Macaca fascicularis: one gene and its partners. The protein of the gene in region 5 purifies or fractionates together with the protein of the main gene of each other region. This does not show direct contact. Links are inferred from orthologs where the notes say so. Each region holds a gene or a part of one and is shown on either strand. Other genes may lie near its edges. The genes, in order: UBASH3B, NCL, AP2A1, EXOC7, EGFR, YES1 and DNAJB11.

The links.
Region 1: the proteins of EGFR (region 5) and UBASH3B purify together in Homo sapiens (affinity purification with mass spectrometry; 10 studies listed by BioGRID and IntAct, with this or other methods). This does not show direct contact. The link is inferred for Macaca fascicularis from reciprocal best matches to the Homo sapiens genes EGFR and UBASH3B.
Region 2: the proteins of EGFR (region 5) and NCL purify together in Homo sapiens (affinity purification with mass spectrometry; 3 studies listed by BioGRID and IntAct, with this or other methods). This does not show direct contact. The link is inferred for Macaca fascicularis from reciprocal best matches to the Homo sapiens genes EGFR and NCL.
Region 3: the proteins of EGFR (region 5) and AP2A1 purify together in Homo sapiens (affinity purification with mass spectrometry; 7 studies listed by BioGRID and IntAct, with this or other methods). This does not show direct contact. The link is inferred for Macaca fascicularis from reciprocal best matches to the Homo sapiens genes EGFR and AP2A1.
Region 4: the proteins of EGFR (region 5) and EXOC7 purify together in Homo sapiens (affinity purification with mass spectrometry; 3 studies listed by BioGRID and IntAct, with this or other methods). This does not show direct contact. The link is inferred for Macaca fascicularis from reciprocal best matches to the Homo sapiens genes EGFR and EXOC7.
Region 6: the proteins of EGFR (region 5) and YES1 purify together in Homo sapiens (co-immunoprecipitation; 3 studies listed by BioGRID and IntAct, with this or other methods). This does not show direct contact. The link is inferred for Macaca fascicularis from reciprocal best matches to the Homo sapiens genes EGFR and YES1.
Region 7: the proteins of EGFR (region 5) and DNAJB11 purify together in Homo sapiens (affinity purification with mass spectrometry; 3 studies listed by BioGRID and IntAct, with this or other methods). This does not show direct contact. The link is inferred for Macaca fascicularis from reciprocal best matches to the Homo sapiens genes EGFR and DNAJB11.

Annotation. Positions count from the first base shown.
Region 1 is NC_088388.1:121,593,903-121,597,813, forward strand, and holds part of UBASH3B (ubiquitin-associated and SH3 domain-containing protein B), read left to right. Parts: intron 1-569; coding exon 570-690; intron 691-1,323; coding exon 1,324-1,446; intron 1,447-2,994; coding exon 2,995-3,087; intron 3,088-3,911. UniProt on the Homo sapiens protein: Interferes with CBL-mediated down-regulation and degradation of receptor-type tyrosine kinases. Promotes accumulation of activated target receptors, such as T-cell receptors and EGFR, on the cell surface.
Region 2 is NC_088386.1:127,379,024-127,382,934, reverse strand, and holds part of NCL (nucleolin), read left to right. Parts: coding exon 1-115; intron 116-782; coding exon 783-980; intron 981-1,076; coding exon 1,077-1,163; intron 1,164-1,200; exon of another isoform or gene 1,201-1,270; intron 1,271-1,349; coding exon 1,350-1,491; intron 1,492-2,548; coding exon 2,549-2,673; intron 2,674-3,309; coding exon 3,310-3,433; intron 3,434-3,895; coding exon 3,896-3,911. UniProt on the Homo sapiens protein: Nucleolin is the major nucleolar protein of growing eukaryotic cells. It is found associated with intranucleolar chromatin and pre-ribosomal particles. It induces chromatin decondensation by binding to histone H1.
Region 3 is NC_088393.1:57,793,051-57,795,972, forward strand, and holds the end of AP2A1 (AP-2 complex subunit alpha-1), read left to right. Parts: intron 1-644; coding exon 645-769; intron 770-853; coding exon 854-970; intron 971-1,064; coding exon 1,065-1,134; intron 1,135-1,311; coding exon 1,312-1,446; intron 1,447-1,867; coding exon 1,868-1,945; 3' UTR 1,946-2,302; downstream 2,303-2,922. Other genes in the region: FUZ (protein fuzzy homolog), read right to left, coding at 2,339-2,562.
Region 4 is NC_088390.1:82,528,186-82,532,096, reverse strand, and holds part of EXOC7 (exocyst complex component 7), read left to right. Parts: intron 1-3,072; coding exon 3,073-3,295; intron 3,296-3,911. UniProt on the Homo sapiens protein: Component of the exocyst complex involved in the docking of exocytic vesicles with fusion sites on the plasma membrane.
Region 5 is NC_088377.1:75,386,005-75,390,517, reverse strand, and holds the start of EGFR (epidermal growth factor receptor), read left to right. Parts: upstream 1-1,507; 5' UTR 1,508-1,768; coding exon 1,769-1,856; intron 1,857-2,083; exon of another isoform or gene 2,084-2,692; intron 2,693-4,513. UniProt on the Homo sapiens protein: Receptor tyrosine kinase binding ligands of the EGF family and activating several signaling cascades to convert extracellular cues into appropriate cellular responses.
Region 6 is NC_088392.1:69,457,110-69,461,785, reverse strand, and holds the start of YES1 (tyrosine-protein kinase Yes), read left to right. Parts: upstream 1-1,578; 5' UTR 1,579-1,747; coding exon 1,748-1,770; intron 1,771-4,676. UniProt on the Homo sapiens protein: Non-receptor protein tyrosine kinase that is involved in the regulation of cell growth and survival, apoptosis, cell-cell adhesion, cytoskeleton remodeling, and differentiation.
Region 7 is NC_088376.1:98,531,647-98,535,557, forward strand, and holds part of DNAJB11 (dnaJ homolog subfamily B member 11), read left to right. Parts: intron 1-152; coding exon 153-235; intron 236-876; coding exon 877-934; intron 935-2,027; coding exon 2,028-2,139; intron 2,140-2,594; coding exon 2,595-2,754; intron 2,755-3,505; coding exon 3,506-3,570; 3' UTR 3,571-3,911. UniProt on the Homo sapiens protein: As a co-chaperone for HSPA5 it is required for proper folding, trafficking or degradation of proteins.

The DNA of each region.
Region 1 (3,911 bases), on a different chromosome or scaffold from region 5:
GGTAGCAGTTGTCTCATTTTGGGGATCACCAACATACATATAGTCAGACAGCAGAGCCTACATTGTGATTAGAATAGGAAAACAGGGTCTCGTTGCTGGAGTGGACCATGAGGACCATGCGATCTGGCCACACACTTTAGAGAAAAGGTAGACACATTTGTGATCACAGAAGCCCTCACTCCCTGAAGAAGTTGATGAATCGCCCCTTCTGGGCGGGGGAAGATGTCCCACTAGATGGCTGTCTCTACATGAATGGCTAGTTTTGCCTCTGAGCTGTAACTGAAAGTGTACAGCATGTTTTAGTAATGGCCAAATGCTACTCCTACACAGGGCAGCTGTAGCAACAATAATGCCCTTTTCACAACCCTCCTCGTTTTATAAAGACATGCAGTTTATCTTATTTGAGCCTCAAAATAATTTATGAGGTCTGTAGGATGAGTCTTACTGTCCTCACCTAGTCACACCTTGGCAGAACTTTGGTAGGAGAGCTCAGCTCACCTGGCACCTGGCTCCAAGACATGTCCACTTTGCCATGTGAGTCTTCACTAATAGCCTTTCTTTCTCTGTAGCCGCTGAGGGTCAACAGCCAGCCTGGCCCCCAGAAGCGATGCCTCTTTGTGTGTCGGCATGGTGAGAGGATGGATGTTGTGTTTGGGAAGTACTGGCTATCCCAGTGCTTCGATGCCAAAGGTGAGTTGTTGGTGGGCCTGCTCAGCACTGCCATACCCATAGTGGCCTCTAGGGGGCACAGTCAAGCTACGGTTATCCGGATGGAGTCATTTATAGTTTTGTGTACTATAGAAAATGTCTGTTATCCGTAAGCCCCTCCTGATTGTCTTGAGCTTTAGGGAAGAAGTAAGTGTTCTTGTCCCCATTCTATAAACTTGGATGCCAGGACTAAAGAAGACAGATGTCTTGCCCAAGGCCACATGGCAAAGTCAGCAGCAGCAACGTGCCCTAATCCCATGGCCAGAGCTCCTGCCATTAAACCTCCCGGGTTCGCTGGGTTCCATTTTCACTTGAGTGGCATTTGAAGACACGGAGGCTTGCCTGACCAGGGAATCTCACCTGCCTTAGGGTGCATGGTTATTACCTTCACTGAGAAACTACCTCATGTCACTTTTGTCAGTAGAATGGAAGAGTGAATTCCAAGTCACTTTATGAAACAAAATATCAGCCTTGATATTTTCCATCAGCTCCAGAGAGCTCAATGTGATCTCTTTGGCCAAGAAGGAATGGGGGTGGAGAATGTCAGGATCAGTAAGGGAGTCTCAAGTAAACAAGAAATGTATGTATCCTCTGTCTAACTTTTTTATTTTTCAGGCCGCTACATACGGAGCAACCTGAACATGCCTCATAGTTTACCTCAGCGGAGTGGTGGTTTCAGAGATTATGAGAAAGATGCTCCCATCACTGTGTTTGGATGCATGCAAGCGAGACTAGTGGGTAAGTATCCTGGAGTGACTATACTCCAGGCATTTCCTGCCGCCTCCTTCAAAACGCTGGTACCATGGATATGCGGGACCCTTCCTGGGGGCTTCTATAACTTTCCTACAAGTAATAAATTTCTTCAATTCAAAAGGAACTTGCTACACAACCATTAAGTTTAGGACACTGTGCTCAGCCCTGGGTTGGTTGACCAAAGTGAATGAGGTGTGGTCCTTATTGAGGACCTCGTGATCCAGTAATGGCTTGGGTTACTGTGCTCACTGTTGGATGTAGCAGACAGGTCAGCCTCTAGTTCAAGACAGCAGCATCTGCCAGCATGGCTGTGGAAGAGGACAAGAGTGAAGAAGACGGACCTGGACTTGCTGAATTTATAAAGGCCAACTGATCCTTTGAAGATGCCCAGCTCTTTGCAAGCCCATTCCATTACTGCCGCGGGGAGATAGTACTTTCCTGTTCAGTCACTTAGCAGATATGTAGTGCTCACTTACCTTGTGCAAGGTATTGGACTAAGGGAACCCAAGTGTGAGTCAGGGAAACAAACTTATGTGTGGATAAATATCATACAATATAATATACATAGAGCTATGCGTGGTCACCAAATATTATGGGAACACAAAAAGACATCTAAGAGGTGAAGAGGTGAGCTGGGAGCTGAAGTGGAAGTTAGCTGGGCAAAGAAGGAGCAGGAGTGAGGAAATGGCATTCTCAGTGGGAGGGACCACATAAACTGTGTCTGAGGCTTGAGAAACAGCCTCAGGAATGCAGGGGAAACAAAGTGCCTTATGTCTAGAGTATAAATTGCAAGGCAAGGCAGAGATGAGGCTGGCAAGATGGATAAAGGCAAGTTCATGGAAGACCTTGATCACCATATTAAGGTGCTCGGATTTAATCCAGTAGACAAAATAACTGGTTTCCAGGCCCGGCGTGGTGGCTCTCACCTACAATCTAGCACTTTGAGAGGCTGAGGCAGGAGGACTGCTTGAGACCTGGAGTTTGAGGCTGCAGCGAGGTATGATCGCACCCCTGCACTCCAGCCTGGATGACAGAGCAAAACCCTATCTCTGAAAATTAAATTAAGAAGAATAATAAATTTTTTAAAGAAGTGGATTTTATGAGGATAGCATTAAAGTATGAGGTGTTGGGATTTATCTCTGGTGTCTAAGAATATGACATGTTGAGATTTTGGTTAGCACAGAATAAAATTAAAACAAGACCTAATATTCATAAAATAAATCCTCTTTCACAAACTTGAAGCCAAAGTATTGTCCTGTTTCTTAATATCTCCTAGCTAAAGGCTTTACCACTTGTTAGCACCAGAGGGAAGGGAAAGAAAAGGCAAGAAGGGCTCTGTCACTTGCTCTCACAGGAACACCGATGAGGGGTTTTGTTAGAAACTAACAAAGGCTGACACTACTGGCTCTATGTGAGCCCCAGTTAGGAAAGAAGGGTTTACAGGGGCTTACTGCTTGGCCCCCTCTCACACTGCGAATCGAGGTGAGACTGAGTAAATCCATCAGACTGATTCTTTTGTGGTTTTCTTTGCAGGCGAAGCCTTACTAGAGAGCAATACCATTATCGATCATGTCTATTGCTCCCCGTCCCTTCGCTGCGTTCAGACTGCACACAATATCTTGAAAGGTAAGACTTGCAGGTTGACAAAAACAAGTAGTCCATCCCTCTGTTTCTAGGCAGCCCCACACATAAATTATCTTAGAATCATGGGACATTTGCCAGTTGAAAGCTTCGAATTTGGAATGAAGCAAGGATTCTTTCAGAAGGCGATCTTTGCCCAAGTCACAAAAACATACTCTGGCAGCCTAAGCGAAATAAGAGGAAGTATACTAGTCATGTTTTCTTTGAGAATTTAAAGCGCTCTTGGATGAATCCTAGGCTTGCAAAATGTTTAGAGCTTATAGAGTGTGATCCTTTCTTTACACTTAATAGTCAAATAACTTTCCTGTTTTGATCTGTTGTTTGCCTCCTGTGGTGCTCCTAGGAGCCTCAAATCTTAATCATCATTTTTTCTTTACTTAATTGGAGAGACTTTAAAAGCATCATTGCTACCAAGATACTCAACTCTCACCCTAAAATCTGTGGAAGCATGAGTTACAGGTATCTCCATTCTCATTTCATGGGAAGGAAAACTAAAAGGAACAGGATTAGACTGTTTACTTCTACCAAAGAAATGAATGAGCCAGAAATAAGCCAACAAAGAACTTGACACTACATCTGAGTCTTCTATCCTTTAACCTTAAGTAGACCTCTTCACTACCAGAAGGCATTTATGTATTCAATTTGCACAGAACAACTGGACTGCATGCAATATGACGATAACTAAGCAGGGACCATTTCTAGGAAGCCAGCTGCACTACGGTAAAACACACAGCTTCTGCACTGCTACTAGTAAATGTTCAGCATTCGATTTTCTGGTAGAGAAAATGAACAATTTACATGATATTCAA
Region 2 (3,911 bases), on a different chromosome or scaffold from region 5:
GATGAAATTGAACCAGCAGTGATGAAAGCAGCAGCTGCTGCCCCTGCCTCAGAGGATGAGGATGATGAGGATGATGAAGATGATGAGGATGAGGATGATGACGATGAGGAAGATGGTAAGGAGTTGTCTTGGTAGTTACTGGGCTTCTGATTGCAAGATATCTTGAGATTCTGGGATCAACATATTCCACAACAACCTGGAGATGAGAGTAGAGTCCTTGTGGGAATTCTCTGGGCTGTTGTGTGTTAGACTTAATTACCCATGAATGATTTTTGTCCCTCCTGAGAAAATTTCAACAGCACATTCTGTGAGTGTTTTTCATAATGTAGGATTTTGTTTCTTAGTGATCTTTTTTGTTTTGTTTTTGTTTTTTAATTTTTTTGACATGGGAGTTATTGCTGTTTCCTAGGCTGGAGTGCAGTGGCACGCTATCTCAGCTCACTGCAACCTCCATCTCCAGGGTTCAAGCAGTTCTGCCTCAGCCTCCCAAGTAGCTGTGATTACAGGCGACCACCACTATGCCCTACTAATTTTTGTATTTTTAGTAGAAACGAGGTTTCACCGTGTTGGCCAGGCTGGTCTCGAACTCTTGACCTCAGGTGATCCACCCACCTTGGCCTCCCAAAGTGCTAGGATTACAGGCGTGAGCCACTGTTCCTGGCCCCAAGTAATCTCTTCTTGCCATGACTATTAACTAAACATGGTGACAGGATTGCATTAGATTTTAAAACCGATGTTGGTTTTGGGAGATTGCTGCAATTTTTAGGTGGCTTATCTTTCAGACTCTGAAGAAGAAGCTATGGAGACTACACCAGCCAAAGGAAAGAAAGCTGCAAAAGTTGTTCCTGTGAAAGCCAAGAACGTGGCTGAGGATGAAGATGAAGAAGAGGATGATGAGGACGAGGATGATGACGACGATGAAGATGATGAGGATGAAGATGATGATGATGAAGATGAGGAGGAAGAAGAGGAGGAGGAAGGTAATTAGATTCTGACATACATTGACATGAGTTGTTTAAAGGAGGCACTTAAGTGTTTGTGGCTATTGATGGGTAATACATTGACATCTTGTCCAGAGCCTGTCAAAGAAGCACCTGGAAAACGAAAGAAGGAAATGGCCAAACAGAAAGCAGCTCCTGAAGCCAAGAAACAGAAAGTGGAAGGTAACTTGCAGAATTAGTGGATGTGGGGGAGATAAACAGCACAAATGATGAATGACAAAGGGACTTAATACTGAAACATGATGTTACATTGCAGTGTGCTGATGTGCTGTGTATAGAAATTTTGCTTTGGAAACTAACTTTTTACCACACTTCACAAGTAGACTGAGTTCAGCTTTTTTTGTATAGGCACAGAACCGACTACAGCTTTCAATCTCTTTGTTGGAAACCTAAACTTTAACAAATCTGCTCCTGAGTTAAAAACTGGTATCAGCGATGTTTTTGCTAAAAATGATCTTGCTGTTGTGGATGTCAGAATTGGTATGACTAGGTAAGTGCTTCATGCGCATTACATACACATGGGTCTGTTAATACTTTTCCTTCCCTTATTAGCACAGTTACTTTAGCCTGCCACTCCTAAACATGAATAGTGTAAACGTTTTCAAGGATTAGCATTAGTGAACTAAGTTAGAATTAAACTATAGAGTCCCTGGATTGCAAATTTCCAGTCAGTCGTAACTTGGTATAGCACAGAATAATCTTAGTAAGTTTTTTTGTCTTTTTTGTTTTGTTTTGTTTTTTATTGAGACGGACTCTGGCTTTCGCTCAGGCTGCAGTACAGTGGCGCAATCTTGGCTCACTGCAACCTCTGCCTCCCGGGTTCAAGTGATTCTCCTTCCTAAGCCCCCTGAGTAGCTGGGATTACAGGTGCACGTCACCACGCCTGGCGAATCTTTGTATTTTTAGTTGAGACAGGGTTTCACCATGTTGGCCAGGCTGGTTTCGAACTCCTGACCTCAAGTGATCCACCCAGCTCGGCCTCTCGAAGTGCTGGGATTACAGGCGTGAGCCACTGTGCCCAGCCTAAATTGGGGTCTTGAGGCACCAGTATTGGTGTTAGGCAGGAGAATCGCTTGAACCTGGGTGACGGAGGTTGCAGTGAGCCAAGTTCGCACCACTGTACTCCACCTGGGCAACAGATCGAGACTCTGTCTCAGTTTAAAATAATAATAATTTGATGTTTATTTTCTTGGAAGTACCTGAAACTATTAGACCTGACTAGTCATCATAGTGAATGCTTTTATCCAGGCAGGATTCTCCTGTATTAGTGCTTACAGGTGTTCTTTTGTCAGCTGCTACTGTGAATTGTTATAAGCAATTTAGCTAATGATGATGACTTCAAACGTGAATGTGCACGTCATATCTCCGTACTGAGACCTTATTCTGTAGCTACAATTTGCAGAGCCTTGACTTTGTTTTGCTAATATTAGGAGTGCTTTTTAAAATGTGATCTTCGTTTGCATCATCACATTTGTCTAGAATACATATTGTGGATTTCAATTTGTGTTTTCATCTGTTGTAATTTTGCCCTTCTCTCCACCTTGAAGGAAATTTGGTTATGTGGATTTTGAATCTGCTGAAGACCTGGAGAAAGCCTTGGAACTCACTGGTTTGAAAGTCTTTGGCAATGAAATTAAACTAGAGAAACCAAAAGGAAAAGACAGTAAGAAGGGTATGTAAGGCTTTAGGATATTATGCAATAAATTCAGGAGCTAGACTGCTAGGGAAAATGCTTTGTAACCCATTTCCCTTGGTTTCCTCTCTTTAAATTTTTTTTTCCCCTTGGTTTCCTCTTAATGTGGGAATTAAATGAGCTGGTGTTTACAAGAGTACTTGGCACTGCTTGCTAGTGTTACAGTGTAAATTCTTGAGTTAGGCAAGCAAGAGCACTTTTATACAGAACACGAATTATTAGATGCACCTAAATTAATGTAAAGGGGTCTTCACTGAAACTAGATTAGGTCCCTAATTACTGTTTGCATCGTTTACTTTATTTCTCTATATACAGTTGTAATGTTGTAATGTTTTAAATTGGTACGTTCACCTTTTTTGTTTCTAAAAATAATATGCATCTACTTCAGGTTGAACTCTAGTGTACCCAGCGGATAGTTTGACATCAGCTGTGACAACATGGAGGGACCACTTGTGTGTTGACACTGCTATATCTCCAAGGCACAGAGCCTTGTACATTATAGGATCTCAAATTATTTGTTGAATAGAGCTATGTCTTTTTTTTTCCCCTCTTTGTTGTTGCCCCCCACCTTTGGTTTTTCAGGCCATGGAGCTCATTTTTGTTTTTTTAATCTAGAGCGAGATGCGAGAACGCTTTTGGCTAAAAATCTCCCTTACAAAGTTACTCAGGATGAATTGAAAGAAGTGTTTGAAGATGCTGCGGAGATCAGATTAGTCAGCAAGGATGGGAAAAGTAAAGGGTATGTTCTGTCTATTGAAATGTAAGGGTTTTCTTAACATGAATACACATTCCTGCTTTATAAAAGAAATGTTGGTTTGATTTTCTTAGGTGTGTAATTTTGGGCAGTTTAACCTGTAAATTTGTGCCTCAATTACCCATCTGTACCATGGGGATAACGCACTCATAGGGTGATTTTAAAAGACAAGGTAATACATATAAAGGAGCAAGAAATGTGCCTAGCTTACAACAAATATTTTGTGAGTAGTAGTTCAGTGAGGTGAGGTTACTGTGAAAAAAATTTTGAGTATTTGTAAAACTGTAGTGGGAAGTAAGAGGGAAGCTCAAGTTTGATTGAAAAGTAGCATAAAACTAAGGGCATTTATTGTATTCAGATCTGAAGCAAGTTCTGTGTTGCTGAGGTATAAAAGCATTTGTGTTAATGTGGTTTTAAAAACCATGAGTTCTTCTCCCTCCATTGCAGGATTGCTTATATTGAA
Region 3 (2,922 bases), on a different chromosome or scaffold from region 5:
TGGGCTCAGTGATCCTTCCCACCTTGGCCTCTCAAAGTGCTGGATCACAGGCGTGAGCCACCACACCCGGCTGGATTATTTCATCAACTCCTGAGGACATTTTACACATGTCCTTTTGTTGAGACAGGGCCTCACTCACCCAAGCGGGAGTGCAGTGGCACGAACACTGCTTACTGCAGCCTCGATCTTCTGGGCTCAAGGCATCCTCCTGCCTCAGCCTTCCAAGTAGCTGGAAGTACAGGTGCACATCACCACACCTGGCTAATTTTTTTTGTAGAGATGGGGTCTTGCCATGTTGCCCAATCTTACACATGTCCAGAGGCTTAGAGAGGTTAAGTGGCTGCCCACAGCCACTCAGGTGGGTAAGAGATGGGATTCAAACCCAAGTCAGCCTCCAGAGCTAATACTATTATGTCTCAGTGAGGTGTGACATTGTGGGAGGCCAAAGGAGGCACCTAGGGGGCGCCTCAGAGGTTTCCATAGTATGAACTTTGTAGTTGAACCTTGTAGGATTGAGTCCAGGATTGCACCATGGGGTCCCTCAAAGACCTGCAGGCGGGAGCTGCCGGCAGCTCTGGGGTTCCTGACCCAGACCTCCCGGGGGCCCGCCGCCTCTGTCTGGCTTCCTTGACCGCTGGCGGGCACAGCTGGCTGTGCAGACCAAGCGCGTGGCGGCGCAGGTGGATGGCGGCGCGCAGGTGCAGCAGGTGCTCAATATTGAGTGTCTGCGGGACTTCCTGACGCCCCCGCTGCTGTCCGTGCGCTTCCGGTAAGTGAGGTGCGGCGCGGCCAGTGGGCGGGGCCTCCGGGGCGAGGGGCGGGGCCTAACGGAGCCTCCCCCTCACTCCACCAGGTACGGTGGCACCCCCCAGGCCCTCACCCTGAAGCTCCCAGTGACCATCAACAAGTTCTTCCAGCCCACAGAGATGGCGGCCCAGGATTTCTTCCAGCGCTGGAAGCAGCTGAGCCTGTGAGGGGTGGGGAGGGGGCGGCGCCAAAGCCGCGCCTCCGGGTGGGCGGGTCGGGCCGTCCAGGTCCCTGACTTGAACCTTCCCGGTCCCCAGCCCTCAACAGGAGGCGCAGAAAATCTTCAAAGCCAACCACCCCATGGACGCAGAAGTTACTAAGGCCAAGGTGAGAGACCGCGGGCGTGTTTGCTGGCCTAGGGCTGCTTTGCTTCTCTGAGCCTCTGTTTTCCCATCTGTAAAGTGGGGCCAATTCCCATCCCCAAGGGTTTTTGGGATCTGGGATGCCACTGTGTGGTAACTGACAGCTCTGGCACTCTCTGACGGCGGCCCCCCTCCCTCCCAGCTTCTGGGGTTTGGCTCTGCTCTCCTGGACAATGTGGACCCCAACCCTGAGAACTTCGTGGGGGCAGGGATCATCCAGACTAAAGCCCTGCAGGTGGGCTGTCTGCTCCGGCTGGAACCCAACGCCCAGGCCCAGGTAAGTGCTGCTGTGGGAGGCCTGAGGTCGGCAGGAAGGCCACCTGTCATCTCTGTGCCCACTCTTCCTGCCTCACTGTTCAATTCACGTCCCCCCTTTGACCCTCCTCCTCTCGCATCTTTGTCCACTTTTCCTCCTCTTTATCCATCAATCTTCTCTCCTGTCTCCAACCTCTGGTCTTCCTCTCCTCTTCCTGTCCCTCCCTGATTTCTACCTTTCCATATCGTTTCCACCTTTCTCTTCTCATTTATAATTTCCCTCCTTTCTGGCTCCTCCGTTGATTTCATTCTTACATTCTCCTCTCCTGTGTCTTGTATCACTTTTCTGGCCCCTTTATCCTTCTTTCTTCTATCTCCCTTGTGTCCCCACTTCCCTGGGCTCCCCATCTTCTCTGAGTTCTGCCCCCAATGTCCCCACCCAGATGTATCGGCTGACCCTGCGCACCAGCAAGGAGCCCGTCTCCCGTCACCTGTGTGAGCTGCTGGCACAGCAGTTCTGAGCCCTGGACTCTGCCCCCGGGGATGTGGCCGGCACTGGGCAGCCCCTTGGACTGAGGCAGCTTTGGTGGATGGGGGACCTCCACTGGTGACAGAGAAGACGCCAGGGGTTGGGGGATGCCTGGGACCTTCCTCCGGCCTTTTGTATTTTTATTTTTGTTCATCTGCTGCTGTTTACATTCTGGGGGGTTAGGGGGAGCCCCCTCCCTCCCTTCCCCCCTCCCAAGCACAGAGGGGAGAGGGGCAAGGAAAGTGGATGCCTCCTCCCCTCCCACCCCACCCTGTTGTAGCCCCTCCTACCCCCTCCCCATCCAGGGGCTGTGTATTATTGTGAGCGAATAAACAGAGAGACGCTAACAGCCCCATGTCTGTGTCCATCACCCACTGCTAGGTAGTCAAAGAAGTGGGGTGAGGGCATGCAGAGTGTGGGTGGCTAGGCTTCGCAGCCCATGGCTGGGACTCTGGGGAGACAGCAGCAGCAGCAGCCGCCGAACCCCCAGCTGCAGGGCCACCAGACGCACTCCTTTGCCTGGTTCCTCAGTCCCCAACACCAGGTAGCAGGCTCTGGGCAGCTGGGCCTGGTAGACCTCATCTTCTGTCTTCTCTGGTGGCCCTGGCTCTGGGGAAAGAACGGGGGGACTGAGGTGACAAGTAGCATGCTAACCTTTGGAAGCCACACCACATCCTGGGCCCAAGTTCTGAACGCGTGGGGTCTCTGAGCACAGGTTTTGGGAGCCTTCTGCCAGGGCAGGGCCTCGGGATTCTAGCAAGCTGTCAGCAACTTGAAGACCATGATGCTCTCAGCTCACCCTCTTCCTCTTTCTCAGCCTTGGCCCCCATTTTCCTGGGGAAACTGTGCAGCTGCAGGCAATCCTCTTAGCAATACACATGGCAAACACGGCAGAAACACAGGAGCTCCAGTAGCCTTTTCCAGGAGCCCACCTGCCCCACTGCATGAGGTGGGTGGAGGGAAGCAGGC
Region 4 (3,911 bases), on a different chromosome or scaffold from region 5:
TTAAAAATTCTTTATTATAAAACTTTTAAATGTATTATAAAAATTAAATTATAAATTACATATAAAATATATACTTAACATTTGATTTTTTTTTTTTTTTCTCCTGAGACAGAGTCTTGCTCTGTCACCCAGGCTGGAGTGCAGTGCTCAGTTCACTGCAACCTCTGCTCCCGGGTCCATGCCATTCTCCTGCCTCCGCCTCCGGAGTAGATGGGATTACAGGTGCCCGCCACCACACCCGGCTAATTTTTGTATTTTTAGTGGAGATGGGGTTTCGCCATGTTGGCCAGGCTGGTCTCAAACTCCTGACCTCAGATGATCCCCCACCTTGGCCTGGGATTACAGGCATGAGCCATTGCACCCAGCCACATTTGATTTTTATAAATGTATTTGTTGTTTCTTTATTTTGGTTAAAAATACATAATATAAATTTTTTTTTTTTTTGAGACGAAGTTTTGCTCTTGTTGCCCAAGCTGGAGTGCAATGGTGCGATCTCCCAAGCGATTCTCTTGCCTCGGCCTCCTGAGTAGCTGGGATTACAGGCGTGCGCCACCACTCCCGGCTAATTTTTTTTTTTTTTTTGTAGTTTTAGTAGAAACGGGGTTTCACCATGTTAGCCAGGCTGGTCACGAACTCCTAACCTCAGGTGATCCGCCTGCCTTGGCTTCCAAAGTGCTGGGATTATAGGCGTGAGCCACCGTGCCCGGCCAAAATATACTATTTTAACTCTAAGTTAACAGTGGCATTAAGTCCCTTCACAATGTTGTGTAGCCATCACCATTATTATCTCCACAAATATGTTCATCTTCCTCAAGTGAAACTCCACTCCCATCAAACACTAACTTCCCATTCTCCCTTCCTCTGTCTTCTGGTAACCACCATTCCACTTTCCGTTTCTGTGAATCTACTCTAGGAACTTGAATCTATGTGATTTTTTTTTTGCATTATATATTTTTAATTTTTTTTTTTTTTTTTTTTTTGAGACAGAGTCTTGCTCTGTCGCCCAGGCTGGGGTGCAGTGGCCAGATCTCAGCTCACTGCAAGCTCCGCCTCCCGGGTTTAGACCATTCTCCTGCCTCAGCCTCCCGAGTAGCTGGGACTACAGGCGCCCGCCACCTCGCCCGGCTAGTTTTTTGTATTTTTTAGTAGAGACGGGGTTTCACCGTGTTAGCCAGGATGGTCTCGATCTCCTGACCTCGTGATCCGCCCGTCTCGGCCTCCCAAAGTGCTGGGATTACAGGCTTGAGCCACCGCGCCCGGCCAATTTTTAATTTTTTTTTAAGAGACAGGATCTGGCTATGTCATCTAGGCCAGACTGCAGTGGCACAACCATAGCTACTGCAGCCTCGAACTCCTGGGCTCAGGCAATCCTCCCGCCTCAGCCTTCCGAGTAGCTGGGCCCACAGGCACGTGCCACCATGCCCAGCTAAGTTTTAAATCTTTTGGTAGAGAGGAGGTCTCCTGTGTTGCTCAGGCTGGTCTCAAACTACTGTCCTCAGGTGATCCTCCCACCTTGGCCTCTCAAAGTGTTGAGAGGGATTATGGGCATTAGCCACTGTACCTGCCTTCATTGTATCTTTGTGTTTAAGTTTTGGGGTCATTAGATCATCAGAGCAAGATAGTGGCTTGGCCTCTGGAAATCACAAATCTATTTTCTGTCTTTATGGATTTGCCTATTCTGAATTTCTGATATAAATGGTATCTTATAATACATGGCCTTTTTTGCTGGCCTCTTTCACTTAGCATGATGCTTTCAAGATCAGTCCATGCTATAGCGTGTATCAGTACTTCATTTCTTTTTCTTGCATATGCTATTCCTTTTTGTGGATAGACCACAGTTTCTTTTTTTGTTTTTTGTTTTGTTTTGTTTTGTTTTTTTGTATTTTGAGACGGAGTTACGCGCTTGTTGCCAAGGCTGGAGGGCGATAGCACAATCTTGGCTCATTGCAACCTCTGCCTCCTGGGATCAAGCGATTTTCCTATCCCAGTCTCCTAAGTAGCTGGGATTACAGGCACCCACCACCACACCCAGCTAATTTTTTATATTTTTAGTAGAGACAGGGTTTCACCATGTTGGCCAGGCTGGTCTTGAACTCCTGACCTCAGGTGATCCGCTTGCCTCAGCCTCCCAAAGTGCTGGGATTACAGGCGTGAGCCACCATGCCCAGCCAGACCACATTTTCTTTAGCCATTTATCCTTTGATGGACACTTGGGTTGTTTCCAATTTTTGTCTCTTGTGAGTAATGCTGCTATAAACCCTTTTATACACGTCATCGTGTGGACAGATTCATTCTCTTCTATGTTTGGGATACCTGTCTTTTATCAGATATGTAGTTTACAAATATTTTCTCTCATTCTGTGGGTTATCCTCACTTTGTTGATGTTATCATTTGCAGCACAGAAGTTTTCAATTTGATACTGTTCAAGTTATTTATTTATTCTCTTTTGCAAACCCCCCACTAACAAGAAGACACATTAACGGTGCAGTGAGAAAATAATCAGCCAGTATTTATTAAGCACCTACTTCTTGTAAAACCCTGGTTTTTACCTGTAAACACAAATTTTGAGAGAATATGAAGTAAAGGAGTCACCAAGGCCGCTTCCTGACATTTCTTCTTTGGGTTAAAGGATATCAGGGCAGGCCAGGTACGGTGGCTCATGCCTGATCCCAGCACTTTGGGAGGCTGAGGCAGGTGGATCACCTGAGGTCAGGAGATCAAGACCATCCTGGCCAACATGGTGAAACCCTATCTCTACTAAAAATACAAAAATTAGCTGGGTGTGGTGGCATGTGCCTGTAATCCCAGCTACTCGGGAGGCTAAGGCAGGAGAATTGCTTGAACCAGGGAGTTGGAGGTTGCAGTGAGCCAAGATTGTATCACTGCACTACTCCAGCCTGGCGGCAGAGCGAGACTCTGTCTCAAAAAAAAAAAAAAAAAAAAAAAGGGTATCAGGGCAGAAAAGGGCAGAGGCCCTGAGTTAGGAAGACCAAGCTGGCACAGGCAGGGGAAGGCCAGGACTGGCAGAGCACTGAAGCAGCAGGCACCCGCTTCCTTCTGTTGTCCCTGCAGAAACTGCTCTTTGAGCGCGGGAAGGAGGCCCTGGAGTCTGAATTCCGCAGCCTGATGACACGGCACAGTAAGGTCGTCTCACCTGTGCTCATCTTGGATCTGATCAGTGGTGATGATGATCTGGACGCCCAAGAGGATGTGACCCTGGAGCACCTGCCCGAGAGCGTGCTGCAGGATGTCATTCGCATTTCCCGCTGGCTGGTGGAATACGGCCGCAACCAAGGTAAGAGGTTCTGACTCGGCCACGTGGCACACTGGAGGCAGAGTGAGTTTTTTTTTTTTGAGATGGAGTCTTGCTCTGTTGCCCAGGCTGGAGTGCAATGGTGCAATCTCGGCTTGCTGCGGCCTCTGCAACCTCGGGTTCCAGCGGTTCTCCTGCCTCAGCCTCCTGAGTAGCTGGGATTACTGGCGCACGCCACCACACCTGGCTAAGTTTTGTATTGTTAGTAGAGATGGGGTTTTGCCATGTTGGCCAGGCTGGTCTTGAACTTCTGACCTCAGGTGATCCACCCACCTCAGCCTCCCAAAATGCTGGAATTACAGACGTGAGCCACCGTGCCCAGCTGCCTTTATTCTTTAATCCACTTGTCGTGGCTTTTTTGATAAAAGGATGTTTAACTGGAACCAATATAAGCAACCATTCTATGACTTATATATCAAGCTGTGAATCTAGGCAAATTCAAACTTTTCTTGTCTTGATTTTTATGTTCATTTGCCTTTTTTGATTAGTTGTAAAATTTTCAAATGGTACAGAAAGCCATGGGTGAAAAATAAAAGTCCATCTTCCACTTCCGCGATGCCTCCATTACATAACCCAAAGATGAGCACTGTTAATGTTT
Region 5 (4,513 bases):
GTCTTTTATTGTAAGACTCACTCCTGTCTTCATTTTATGTTCCACTGCTGTGCTTCGCATTTGCCTTTCTCTAGTTTTGTTTTCTGTCTCTGTGTTTCTATAGGGACTGCTCTCAGCCCAGGTGTGCAGGAAGCACACACGTGCCTGCAGAGCCTTCACCATCTCTGCATCCAGGGACTGACTTCAACGCACAGTGGCTGTACTGATCCGCTAAAACAAAGGAACAAATTACTTCTTCTAATTCACAGGGAAGTTCCAGGTTGTACGGGTGGTGAGGAGCCTTGTGTCTGTCTGCGCTTGCCCTGGTGAAAAACCCACCGTTCAGGCTGCAGGGTGTGAAACCCAGGCACAAACACTTCGCTGGATGCGGAGGAAAGATGCAAGGTTGCTCCCCTTCAGAGACAGCAAAGGGCAGATCTGTAGCTCTACTTACTTCAGGATTATGATTTTTGACAGAGCCGGGAGATCAGGGTTGTTGAACCAGGCCTGAAGGTCCTAGTGAATCTCGTGAAGAGAGGAGGGGTCTGACTGTAACATGGACCTAGAGGACATTCTTACTGCAGGAGAAGCAACAGTGGGGATGGGGTGGACTTGCCAAAGGAATGTAGCTCAAGTTCCTGCAGCCTAAAGCAGCTCAGTTTCTTTCGGCCAAACTTTCGCGAACTTCCCTGGCATTTCTCCTGCGGGAGCTACCGGTGCAGTGGGACACTTAGCCTCTCTAAAAGCATCTCCACAGCTGTTTGTGTCAAGCCTTTATTCCAAGAGCCTCACTTTTGCGAAGTAACGTGCTTCACACATTGGCTTCAAAGTACCCACGGCCGGTTGCAGTAAACATTGAGGAGGCCTGTCTCTGCGCCCAAAGTTGGGTGCCCTCATTTCAGACGATTTCTAGGGTGCTTCACGGGATCTGAAGGACCCTCGGACTTTAGAGCACCACCTCGGACGCCTGGCACCCCTGCAGCGCGGGCACAGCGACCTCCTCAGCTGCCAGGCCAGCCTCTGATCCCCGCGAGGGTCCCTGGGTGCTGCAGGGGAGGTGAGGACCAGAATAAAGGAGCAGTTTCCCCGTCGGTGCCATTATTCGACGCTGGCTCTAGGGCTCGGCCAGTCTGTCTAAAGCTGGTAGAAGTTTGTTCTGTAAAACAAAAGAAGGGAAAGGGGGAAGGGGACCCTGGCACAGATTTGGCTCGACCTCGACATAGGCTGGGCCTGCAAGTCTGCGGGGACCCAGTCCAGAGGGGCAGTGCTGGGAACGCCCCTCACGGAAATTAACTCCTCAGGGCACCCGCTCCCCTCCCGCGCGCCACCCCCTTCCCGCGGGAGACCAGGTCCCGCGGGGGTCACCGCTGTCCACCGCCTCCGGCGGCCGCTGGCCTTGGGTCCCCGCGGCTGGTTCTCCTCCCTCCTCCTCTCATTCTCCTCCTCCTCTGCTCCTCCCGATCCCTCCTCCGCCGCCTGGTCCCTCCTCCTCCCGCCCTGCCTCCCCGCGCCCCGGCCCGCGCGAGCTAGACGTCCGGGCAGCCCCCGGCGCAGCGCGGCCGCAGCAGCCTCCGCCCCCGGCACGGTGTGCGCGCCCGCCGCGGCCAAAGCGGCCGGAGTCCCGAGCTAGCCCCGGCGGCCGCCGCCGCCCAGACTGGACGACAGGCCACCTCGTCGGCGTCCGCCCGAGTCCCCGCCTCGCCGCTAACGCCACAACCACCGCGCACGGCCGCCTGACTCCGTCCACTATTGATCCGGAGAGCCGGAGCTTGCTCTTCGGGAAGCAGCTATGCGACCCTCCGGGACGGCCGGGGCCGCGCTCCTGGCGCTGCTGGCTGCGCTCTGCCCCGCGAGTCGGGCTCTGGAGGAAAAGAAAGGTAAGGGCGTGTCTCGCCGGCTCCCGCGCTGCCCCCGGATCGCGCCCCGGACCCCGCAGCCAGCCCAGCCGCGCACCGGCGCACCGGCTCGGCGCCCGCGCCCCCGCCCGTCCTTTCCTGTTTCCTTGAGATCAGCTGCGCCGCCGGCCGGGACCGCGGGAGGAACGGGACGTTTCGTTCTTGGGCCAGGAGAGTCTGGGGCGGGCGGGGGAGGAGACGCGTGGGGCACTGGGCTGCGGGCCGGCGGGGAAACGGCCGCCTGGACCTCCGGCGCCCCGAACCGCTCCCAACTTTCCACCCTCACTTTCCCCGCCCCGCTGCGCGGAATCGGCGTCAGTGGGCGAAAGCCCCGTGCGGGTGGGTGCCTGGGGCCGGGGTCCCGCACGTGCGCCCCGCGCTGTCTTCCCAGGGCGCGGCGGGGTCGCGGCGCGCACCCGAGGGACTGGCGCTGCCCACCCGCCGAGGCTGCGCTGTTTAGGGAAGCTGAGGAAGGACCCCGAAAATAAAGCCTCCCTTCGGACCCCGCGGGACAGGCGGCTTCCTGAGCGAACCTCCCTGCCTCCGCGCTCCGCGCAGGTCTCAAACTGAAGCCGGCGCCGGCCAGCCTGACCCCGGCCCCTCTCCAGGTCCCCGCGATCCTGGTTCCCAGGTGTGGAGTCGCAGCCTCAACCTGGGAGCTGGGAGAAGTCCGCCACCACCTGCGGCGCCTGGGAAGGGGTGGTGCTGGCGGCGGTGAGCTTCCTCGTTGGCAAAAGGCAGGTGGGGTCCGACCCGCCCCTTGGGCGCAGACCCCGGCCGCTCGCCTCACTCGGCGCGCCCTCGTCTTGCCGGTCCAGGTATGCCCCCCACCTCCTGGGGACCCGAGCTCCCTCCCGGGCGCCCGCGCAGAAAGGCCCGGGCTCTCGTTCGGTGGCCGCCTCGCGGGGACGTCCGGGTCTGCCCCACCTGCAGCCCTTCGGTCGCGCCTGGGCTTCGCGGTGGAGGGGGACGCGGCTGTCCGGCCACTGCTGGGGGGATCGCGGCCTCTAGTGCGGAAGCCCAGGAAGCAGAGCTCATCCTGGCCAGCACCACAGTGTTTCAAAATGGGGCTCACAGCAAACTTTTCTCCTCAAAACCCGGAGAGTTTCTTTCTTGGATGTTTCTTTTTGCTGTCTGAAGAATTTGACATTGAGCCAACCAAAATATTAAACCTGTCTTACACACACACACACACACACACACACACACCGGATTGATGTCCCTGGTTCAAGTGTGCCAAGTGTCCAGACAGAACATGAGCGAGTCTGGCTTCGTGACTACTGACCATAAACCCACTTGACACGGGAAACATGCCTCGGAAGGTTTAATTGCACAATTCCAACCTTGAGCTGCGCGGGTTCCAAGAGCCAGGCCCGTACTTGCTGTTGATGTCACTGGCATGGGGAGTTGGGGTTTGGTGCCCAGCGCGGTCGTTGGGGGAGGGGCAAGACATAGAACAGTGGTTCCCAGACCTTGCTGCACGTTAGAATTACCTGGGATTTAAAAAAAAAAATCAAAACAAAAACCAGTGTCTGAATCCCGCCCCCAGACATTCTGATTTAATTGGCATGGGGCAAGACCTGGACATGGGATTTTTTTTTTAATGCTTTTCATGTGATCTGTTGGGGAGCCAGGTTTGGGGATCACCGGACGGAAGAAGGATTGTTAAAGTCTCCGGAGAGATTACTTGCCAATGCAAAGAGCTCTTTGAGGACATCTGGAATTTTAACAATGTTGCCAAATATAGGAAAGAGGGAAAAGGTGGGGTGTGGTTCCAATAATAAAAGATTCCTCTTTTCATTGAAGGAACTGGTGGAAAGGTTTCTTCTCTGCTGAGCTTGCAGGGCCCCTCCTGCCTGCTTGGGGGCTGACTGTGGGTCCTGTTAGTCAGGTGTCAGCCCTGTCTCTGCTGAAGAGACTCTTCTCTTTATTTTAAATTAAACCCTCAGAGCACCTCCAAAGCATCACTTTTCTCCCTCCAGTGGGGTTCTCATTCTTTGATGTTACTTGCTTGAACACCACTGTTAGTGATTGGAGATTTGTTCCTGAGAAAAATATAAATACCACTTAATTTGCCTGTTTATCCTGTATTCACTCAAAACAGAAACTCCTGAAGACAGAGAGAGTAGGTGAACAGGCGCTATTCTGTTACAGTAACATAAAAGACTGAATTTTCAGGGGCAAATTATTAAAGTAGGAGATGAGCTCTTTTAACAGAAATTTGTTTGAGACCTGTGTCTATCAAATTCAGTCGATTTTATTCAAGATGCACTTCGTTTAGTAAGGGTTTTGTTTGGTTCTGGGACATGCTAACTTCTGGACTTGCTGCTCTTAGACGTAATGACTGCCAGACACCGTTTCATGCGTCCTAATCCCCACATTAAGCATAAGAGGTGTACACTCTCCTCCTATGGGGGAAACTGAGGTACAAAGAACTAAAGTGACTTTCCCACCGCTGGTAGGAGGCAGATGTAAAACTCACACCAGGGGCTTCCGACTCCAGATCCCTCTCTCAACTTCCAAACTCCACTGCCTTGTCCGAGTTCTGGTTTCAGGAGATCCAAATCAGGTGTGTGCAAACGTCTAATGACAGAGCTGGCAAGGGGAAAGGGCCCAGGGAGCCGGCTCATGAAGATAGG
Region 6 (4,676 bases), on a different chromosome or scaffold from region 5:
TGCTGTCTTGGGACTCCCAGAATACTGGGATTACACGTGTGAGCCACCGTGCCCGGCGTATTTCAGAGCTGGTTTTTAGACTGAGTGTTTAAGAAGACAAAGACATCTCTATTTAGTGAAGAAACTCAACAGCTCAAGGAATTTTCTACTTTAATAAAAGCTGAATATAGACCTACATAAAATTTTACAACCCTGAGACAGTCAAAGACAAATGAAGTTTTAGTAGCTAAAGAAAATACAGCACCGTTCCACATTATGTGTATCTTTAATGCCTATGCCTACCTTTCGTTCATTTAGTGAGCTGAAAAAAAAATGTTCAAACCCTTATGTGCATTTCCTTAAGTTCCTAGAACACCGAAATACTGACACGTATGACTGTACTATTTCGTATCTGTCGATGATTCTGAATTTCACTAAAAACCGCAAAGGAAACCAATAGTCACACAACTATTCTGATAACCCCACCAAAGAGGAAATAAAGAAAGGAAGTTACTCCGAAAGTCTGACAAGGCAGAAGTGACTGCAGCAGAAGTGCCTCAAGGGTCAGTTCATGAGGACCTTGATTAACGCCCCCACCCCATCCTTCCGGGTCCTCCCCCTTCTTCAGCGACTGGGTACGAGGCTCATAGGAAAGGTGCGCGGCTTCAGACCGACACGATTCCAGCTTGGCTCCTCCACTTTCGGGGTCGCTGTTTCCACAGCTTTCGAGCAGGATAACCATACTTGTTGCACTTCCCTCACTGGGCTGCCGCCAGCAGCATATAGACATACGCTGTCCCAACATAAGCCAAAGCCACCATTACTGAGATAGTCGCCAAACATAACTCAGCTTCGGTTCCCCTCCCGGCAAGGCTGGTTCGACCTACAGTTAACAGGAAGCTCCTGGGGGCAGGGACAGGATCCCTGCCTCGGAAGGAGGCCAGACGTGAACGTTGTTTGGACGGCATCTGGATAGTGACGAGAGTGTGAGTAACGCCCCCGGCTCACGCGGTTGGGCTGAGATTTTACTACCAACGACAAAGGGTGCGGAAGCATAGTGCTGAGAAGCAGCCAGCCAAAAAAACTCAACCCCGTCCTCCCCCGCAAAAACAAGCCCCAAAGCCCTGGGCACTACGGAGAGCCGGGCCAAGGAAAAGAGAAAGGCAGAGGGGCGGAATCGGGGCGCCCCATTCAATCCCCGCGGCAGCCGAGCGTCGGTGGGTTCGCGGCTGGGAAGGGGCGCCGCGGGCCTGCTCTCCGGGCGGGGAAGCACCTCCTCCTCACGCCCCCTCAGCCTGCACCGCCCCCGGGAATCCGCCCCGGACCCCGCCGCCATGTTGGGTCGGGAGAAGTGACACGGACCGGTCGCATACCTAGACCACAGCAAAGCGGCCCAGAGCCCGCGGAGGGGACCTGGCGGGGGCGTAAGCGCCGGAAGGCTGGGGGCCCTGGAGCCTGGCCGGCGTGGCCCGAGTTCCGGTGAGCGGACGGCGGCGCGCGCAGGTAGCCGCAGCCCCCGCCCCGCGCCCGCCCCCGCCCCCGCTAGAAGTGAGGGGGCGGGGCCGGGGGAAGGAGGTGGAGAGTGAGGCCGAGGGGTGGGGAGCCAGGGAACTCCCTCGTCCTGAAGCAACGCGTCCCGGGCCGGCTCTGCAGTGGTTGCTGCAGCCGGGCGCCCCGGGACGAGGAGGTGGAGGAGGGAGAGGGCCCGCGGGCCTCGCCTCCGCCCTCCGTCCCCTCCCGCCACCTCGAGCTGCGGCAGCAGCGACTCATGAGAGCGCGGCCGGAGGACAGGTAAGGACCGGGTGGGGCCCCGCGGGCGGAGGGGTCCACCCCGGCACGGACAGGGCTAGGCCCCAGCGCCCGGAGCCGCCAGCACCGCCGCGGTTCCCCGCCCCCGCGGGCCAGAGTCGGGAAGTTGGGAAGAAACTTCTCCCCTCCCCCGGCTCGCCCCGCGGGCTCGTCTCGTTCCCCGCGCTACCTGCTCGCCCCTGACTTGGTCTCTGCCCCATTCAGTCCTGCCGGGTCCCGCCCAAGTCCGACCTGAGGTCCCAGGGGCGTGGGGACACTCTCCACCGCTTGTCTTTGGGGTCGTGTGGACAGCCCGGCGGCGTGGAGGCGAGGTTTATTTTTGCCCACACGGCCGAAGTGGGGGCGAGGGAAGCGGTCCCTTTTCGGTCCTAAAGGCTGGGGGTCTGTGTCTCGGCCGACGCCAGTAGCAGCTGTGCGGGGAGAGGAGAGGGTGTGTGGGGCGAGTGGGTGAGCCTCTCGGGCTTTACTCGGTTTGATTGAAAACCGCAACATGTTTAAAGTTTTCCTTTGTTTTGGATTGGGGGTTGGGAAATTTACCATTCAGCGTCCACTTTTTCATGCCACTCCGCCTCCCGTTGCGTTCGGTTCCCTGTCCACATGTGTTAAAGAAAATTTTGTCTTAAAGTGTGTTTTTCTTCTTGATAATTGCTTCCAGCTTTCACTTTATTGGGCATGGAGCAGAGTTGTTTTAAGAAGCTCTTTGAAAATCAAGTCTGGTGTAGGGACTTTAGTTTTTGTTTTGAGTAGGACTTAACAGTTCGGATTTGGTTGAATTATTTTCTGCATAATTAATTGATACAGGCGTGGAATAACATACGGTCTAATTTGTACATTATTAAAGGAAATAAAGTCTGGTGGAAGCACAATTTTATGTCCATACCATTTATTATGTATATACGTTCCACGGATGTGTGTTTTCACATAGTTGATTTCACGTGTATATAATATGATTATAGTATCTTCATGTATTATAATTGTAAGATTAGTGCCAAAGATGTCTTGATAATTTTAAATGTGTTTAAACCATCCTGTTAAATTTCTAAAGTTAAATAACTCACTAAGGAAAATATTACTAAATGTATACACATGACTGCATTTAAGGAAAAGTGCATGGTAAATCTAATAACTGTCACAGTGCTTGGCACACGGTGGACAGGAAGCATTTTGGTCAGGTAATAAAGGAGTATCTTGTATTAACCAAGGATCTTGTATGCATCACTTACGATTTTCATATATTGTACAGTAAGGAAGTTTTACTTTAGCAAATAATATATATGGTTTTGTTGTTTTTGTTTGCTTATAAATGTGAGACCCCTGCCACAATTGACATGTAAGAAAAGGAAGTTAAATTGTATTTTAATTTTTGGACATTAGCTAAAAGTCGGTGGAGATTTTAAATGCTGGTTAACATTTCAGAGGGTCCTACATTTGAAATAGACAGTTGCCTTTGATCTGAAAACAAAACAGTTTATATCCATGTTTCCAGGATAAAAGATAAAAGGGCTCTTAAAATACATACTCTGTTGTAACCACCGTAATGTTATAATAGCTTTAATTTCGCAGTTAGGTTTTGCTGACTTCATAAACCACAAAATTGATTCCTTTCTGTTCATCTGAAAGTGAAATTACAGCTTTGACCTGTCTTCCTGGGTTAGGTGGAATTTGTCTTATGGTCGAAGTATATAACATTAATACATGGGCGTTTTTTTGTGTGTGTTTTAGTTCAGGAAATTCACAAGCTGAAAAATTGTTTATGCAAGTAGAATTCCTTCGTGGTATGTATTGATAAAAGAATAAATGTGCTAAAAGACTAGAAGTAAACCTGTATAAGCGAAATATTATCAACCAATGGTGTAAGACTTACTCAAAGTTGAAATTTGCATCATGTTAAGACAGTAAATAATTTATTCCTATGGGTAGTTTTTCTTTACAACATCAGTGTAGGCATCAGTTATTCTATTAGCATTATAGTAAGAAAGAAGACTAATGCCAAAAAAATTTAAGTGATGCTAAACTCTGGTGTCGCCCAAACTTGGGTAATTAAAAAAGAAAAAACCTGCAAGGAAATTTCTGTGAACGTAAAGATAGAAGCATAGAATACCTGTGGTTCTATGAAAGGAAATATATAGGAAGAGGGAGGAGATTGTGATAGGGACCTGGCTTCTGAAGTGGTGACAAAGTTGTTTTAACCTGATAGGAGTTACCAAGGGTATTGGTTTTAGTGTAATACATTAAGCCCTACGTCTGTATGCAGAATCTGTTTCTATGTTTTATTTTACATGAATTTTTTTTAAGGAATCCAGTGTATAATGTACTATATGAGGTGCTTGGTTTAAGAACATAATTTGGTGACTGACTTTAGAACACTACCTAGGCTATCCTTTGCAAATAGGAATAGATTTGTTAAATCATAATTGTCATATACCAGCTAGTATGTATAACGACTTTGAACACGTCAGGCTGGGCATGGTGGCTCACACCTGTAATCCCAGCACTTTGGGAGGCGGAGGCAAGGGGATCACTTGAGACCAGGAGTTTGAGACCAGCCTGGCCAACATGGTGAAACCCCATCTCTACTAAAAAGTACAAAAATTATCTGGGTGTGGTGGTGCACCCCTGTAATCCCAGCTACCTGGGAGGCTGAGGCACAAGAATTGCTTGAAACCCGGAGACAGCGATTGCAGTGAGCTGAGATAGTGCTACTGCATTGCAGCCTGGGCAACAGAGTGAGACTGTCTCAAAAAAAAAAAAAAAAAAAAAAGTCAAATACTCCTAAATGTACAATAATTAGAGAATTGTTGGGAAAAAATTTCTAAATAAAGTTCTACTTGGTTTTCTTTAGTAAGTTAATTGTTTTAATATTTTGAGAGAAGACACAGGTTTTACAA
Region 7 (3,911 bases), on a different chromosome or scaffold from region 5:
TAAAAGATTTATCAGATAGTTTTGTCAAGTAGAGGCACACTATAGTCTTCCAAGAAAAAGCTCTGATAAAATAGATAAAACTTTATATATATATCTGATGTTTTGTTTATATTTTCATTATTTTTCTCCTCTTTTAATTGTCTTTACCTCAGACTAGTGAATGAAGAACGAACGCTGGAAGTAGAAATAGAGCCTGGGGTGAGAGACGGCATGGAGTACCCCTTTATTGGAGAAGGTAAAATATTGATATTTGATTTTTTTATTGTCATAACTTTCTGCTCTCTGCTTGTTTGTGAATACCTCTCATCCCTGCCTTGCTCCATCTTAATGTTCACATAGTAAATGCATATATAATTTCCAATACCCTTCAGCCAATTTTAGGATATACAAAACTTTTTGTTTACCTGAAGCAGTAGCATTACTGTTTATCCTTTGAATGTCATGGCCAAAAGTTATTATGAGGTAACCTAAGTTTCCTCAAAATTTAGGGTGTTCAGACCTTAATGAATTTTAACTCAGCAATGAAAGAAGATATGTAACTCTAGTTGGCATTAATAAGATGTTCTCAGGACCTCACCTTTAGACTTAAGTTTAAAACTCTAAAAATAAAAAAAAAAGCTTTGAGACTTAGGTTCAATAGACCAGTGAATCATTCTTGGTTTAGGAAATGGGTCAAGTTATGTACTGCTGTATCTGAGGCAAAGGTAATGATTTCTAATAATCTGAAACTTGATAGAACCAGGCAGAGACACGGCCGCCACAGATTTGACAGATCAATGCCCAAAGTAGTGGATTAAAAAGAATTATCAGTTGCCAAATAGATGTGTGGTATTCAACTCGTATGATTTACAATATGCTGTAATCTGCTCTGACTAGGTGAGCCTCATGTGGATGGGGAGCCTGGAGATTTACGGTTCCGAATCAAAGTTGTCAAGTAAGTTATCTAATTTTAGAGGTCTTCTCAGATGAGTCAGATTATAGAGGTGTGGGTGGCCACCAGAGCAGTTAGAGACTTTTTTCTCTGTTTCTTACCCTTATTACCCTAAACGATGATTTGTAACTCCTCTACAAGGCTGAAAGCTTGGGGTTGGGCCCTAGGATTGAGCCCCAGTTATTTATTTACTTAGGACTTTACAAATGCAAAAGATGTTGAAAGGAAAGAATTGATAAGTAAGGAGTTATAAAAGAGAAACAAACAAGATAGGGAGTCAAAGCTGAGATTTTAGCTGAAGAACTATGGCACCATACAAGAATAGGAGACTTTGCCATAGAAATAACTTTCTACGTAATATGCAGCTTCTGTGAAGAGAGAGCTTTTCTTTTGTGAGCTTCTCTTCAGCATGAAGTGCTGCTTAGACAATTTTGCCTGGGACTCCGGCTTTCTTGATTAGTATTTCTCTCTTGTTACCGCTTTGGAAACCAGTAATATCTCTGCATCTATAAGGAGTCATCAAAACAGAGTTCCCACCAGAATAGGGAGAAATGGCCGCCCACTGTCTGGGACTTTTCCTTCCTGCACTCTTTAATCTCAGTGTTGTTTTCCCCAGCTTCTTTGCCTACCTTGTCTTTATCATCACTTCTTAGAGAAACTGGAATGTGTGTTGTTTCCTGAATAAACCTGACACCTTCCTTGTCTTTGCCAGAATTCCTTCTCACTCTATTTCCCCTTCCTTCCACCCATTTTATCTGCATTTCTACAGCCAACTTAGTCTTGTGAGCCCAGCTCAGGAAACTTCTGTAGACCCATTTCTGAAGATGATCTCCCCAGAAACTTTCTTTCTCTTTTTTCCATAATCTAATGATTATAGTTTTACTTATACTCTGGCTTTTGCTGATTGTGTGTTCCTTAACAGTAGCATTTAATAAGACTTAAACAACTTTATATTCTCGATTAATACTACACACAAACGTATGTCTAAGAAATGTTTATGGTTTGAAAGAGTGGTGTTCACCTTTTTCCAAGATTTTTCTAACAACTCTTTGAACTTAAAGTGGAAATTAATGATGTTTACCTATTCTGTTTTTAGGCACCCAATATTTGAAAGGAGAGGAGATGATTTGTACACAAATGTGACAATCTCATTAGTTGAGTCGCTGGTTGGCTTTGAGATGGATATTACTCACTTGGATGGTCACAAGGTAAACAAACCAATTTACTTGTTCTCCGTCCTTTTGAAGCCTTTATGTGGGTAGTTTTGAGATGTATCAGCTGTTTCAGTCATTGAGAACCAGAGGGACTCCTTTCTCAGTCGTATTCTTCGTCTGTACTTACTCTGCTGCTGAGCATCCTGCAATAACAGTGCCAGACCTTTCAGCTACTCAGAATGGATTGCACAGCCTTTGACAGTCTTGTCCTTATAGTTTCTATTGATGAAAACCTTTCTTTGTTTACTTGTTTTGGTGTTTGATTTTTCTTCTTTAATAAAATCCTTTGTTCTTGACTGACATTGTCCTAATGATATTTCCTTTGCTCCTTCATTCTTTCTTTTTGCTGAGCTGTGACATTAGCTTTGTGTACCAGTGCTCACTAGAAGCTGTATGATGTACTTCAGATGTACCGCTCCTGCTGCAGTGCGTTCCCTTTTGTTTCCTAGGTACATATTTCCCGGGATAAGATCACCAGGCCAGGAGCGAAGCTATGGAAGAAAGGGGAAGGGCTCCCCAACTTTGACAACAATAATATCAAGGGCTCTTTGATAATCACTTTTGATGTGGATTTTCCAAAAGAACAGTTAACAGAGGAAGCAAGAGAAGGTATGGCATATGAGTGTGTGTGTGTGTGTGTGTGTGTGTGTGATGAGAAAAGGGTGGCAATAGAAGCAGAACTCTCCAGTGACATGAGACATCAAGACATCAATCATTAATGCTAGTAGAACACTAACATAGGAATGAACTCATCTTACTTTGTAAAGGCGATATGTTAAAAATCCTACATCTTTGTGTTACAAAAGTCTGTGTAAGCTGTGCTTCGAAACCTAGGGAGTGATAGAGTATGTGGGAATGAAACAGAATCCCTTAAAACAAATGAGCTGGACCACTCTGTAAAAGGGAAGATGAGGTAGACAATAGAAAGATTAGGAGCTTATGGTTGCATGTCTAGGATGACTGGCTGAGAAGAGGGCCCCACTCGGGGTCCTAAATAGTAAGAGAAAGGAGAGCAATGAAGGAGGAAAAAACTGAAAAGAGGATACAGAAGAAGGAATGGGAGACTTAACTGAAGAGTTTTCTTTCCCTTTTGATTGCCTCTTCTCATTCCTCATTTTGCAGAGCTTTGTGGGACATGTATGTGGTATGTGGGCCTAAAAGAGACAAGGGATCATCCTGGAAACATATGTGCATGTGTGGGATTACCTACATGCGATTATGTTGGAGATTGGTAGTTATTTAATTCACATCCATGTTTGTCATAAGGCCTTTTATGAGCCTTTTCTTGAAATATGCTCTTTAAACACTAGGAAAGTAACATTTTTTTGTTAATGGAGTCATTTGTTCATTCATTCTTCAGGTATCAAACAGCTACTGAAACAAGGGTCAGTGCAGAAGGTATACAATGGACTGCAAGGATATTAACAGTGAATAAAATTGGACTTTGTTTAAAATAAGTGAATCGGCGATATTTATTATCTACAGGGTTTTTTTGTGTGTGTTTTTGTTTTTATTTTCAATATGCAAGTTTGGCTTAATTTTTTTTGTCTAATGATCATCATGAAATGAATAAGAGGGCTTAAGAATTTGTCCATTTGCATTCAGAAAAGAATGACCAGCAAAAGGTTTACTAATACCTCTCCCTTTGGGGATTTAATGTCTGGTGCTGCCGCCTGAGTTTCAAGAATTAAAGCTGCAAGAGGACTCCAGGAGCAAAAGAAACACACATAGAGGGTTGGAGTTGTTAGCAATTTCATTCAAAATGC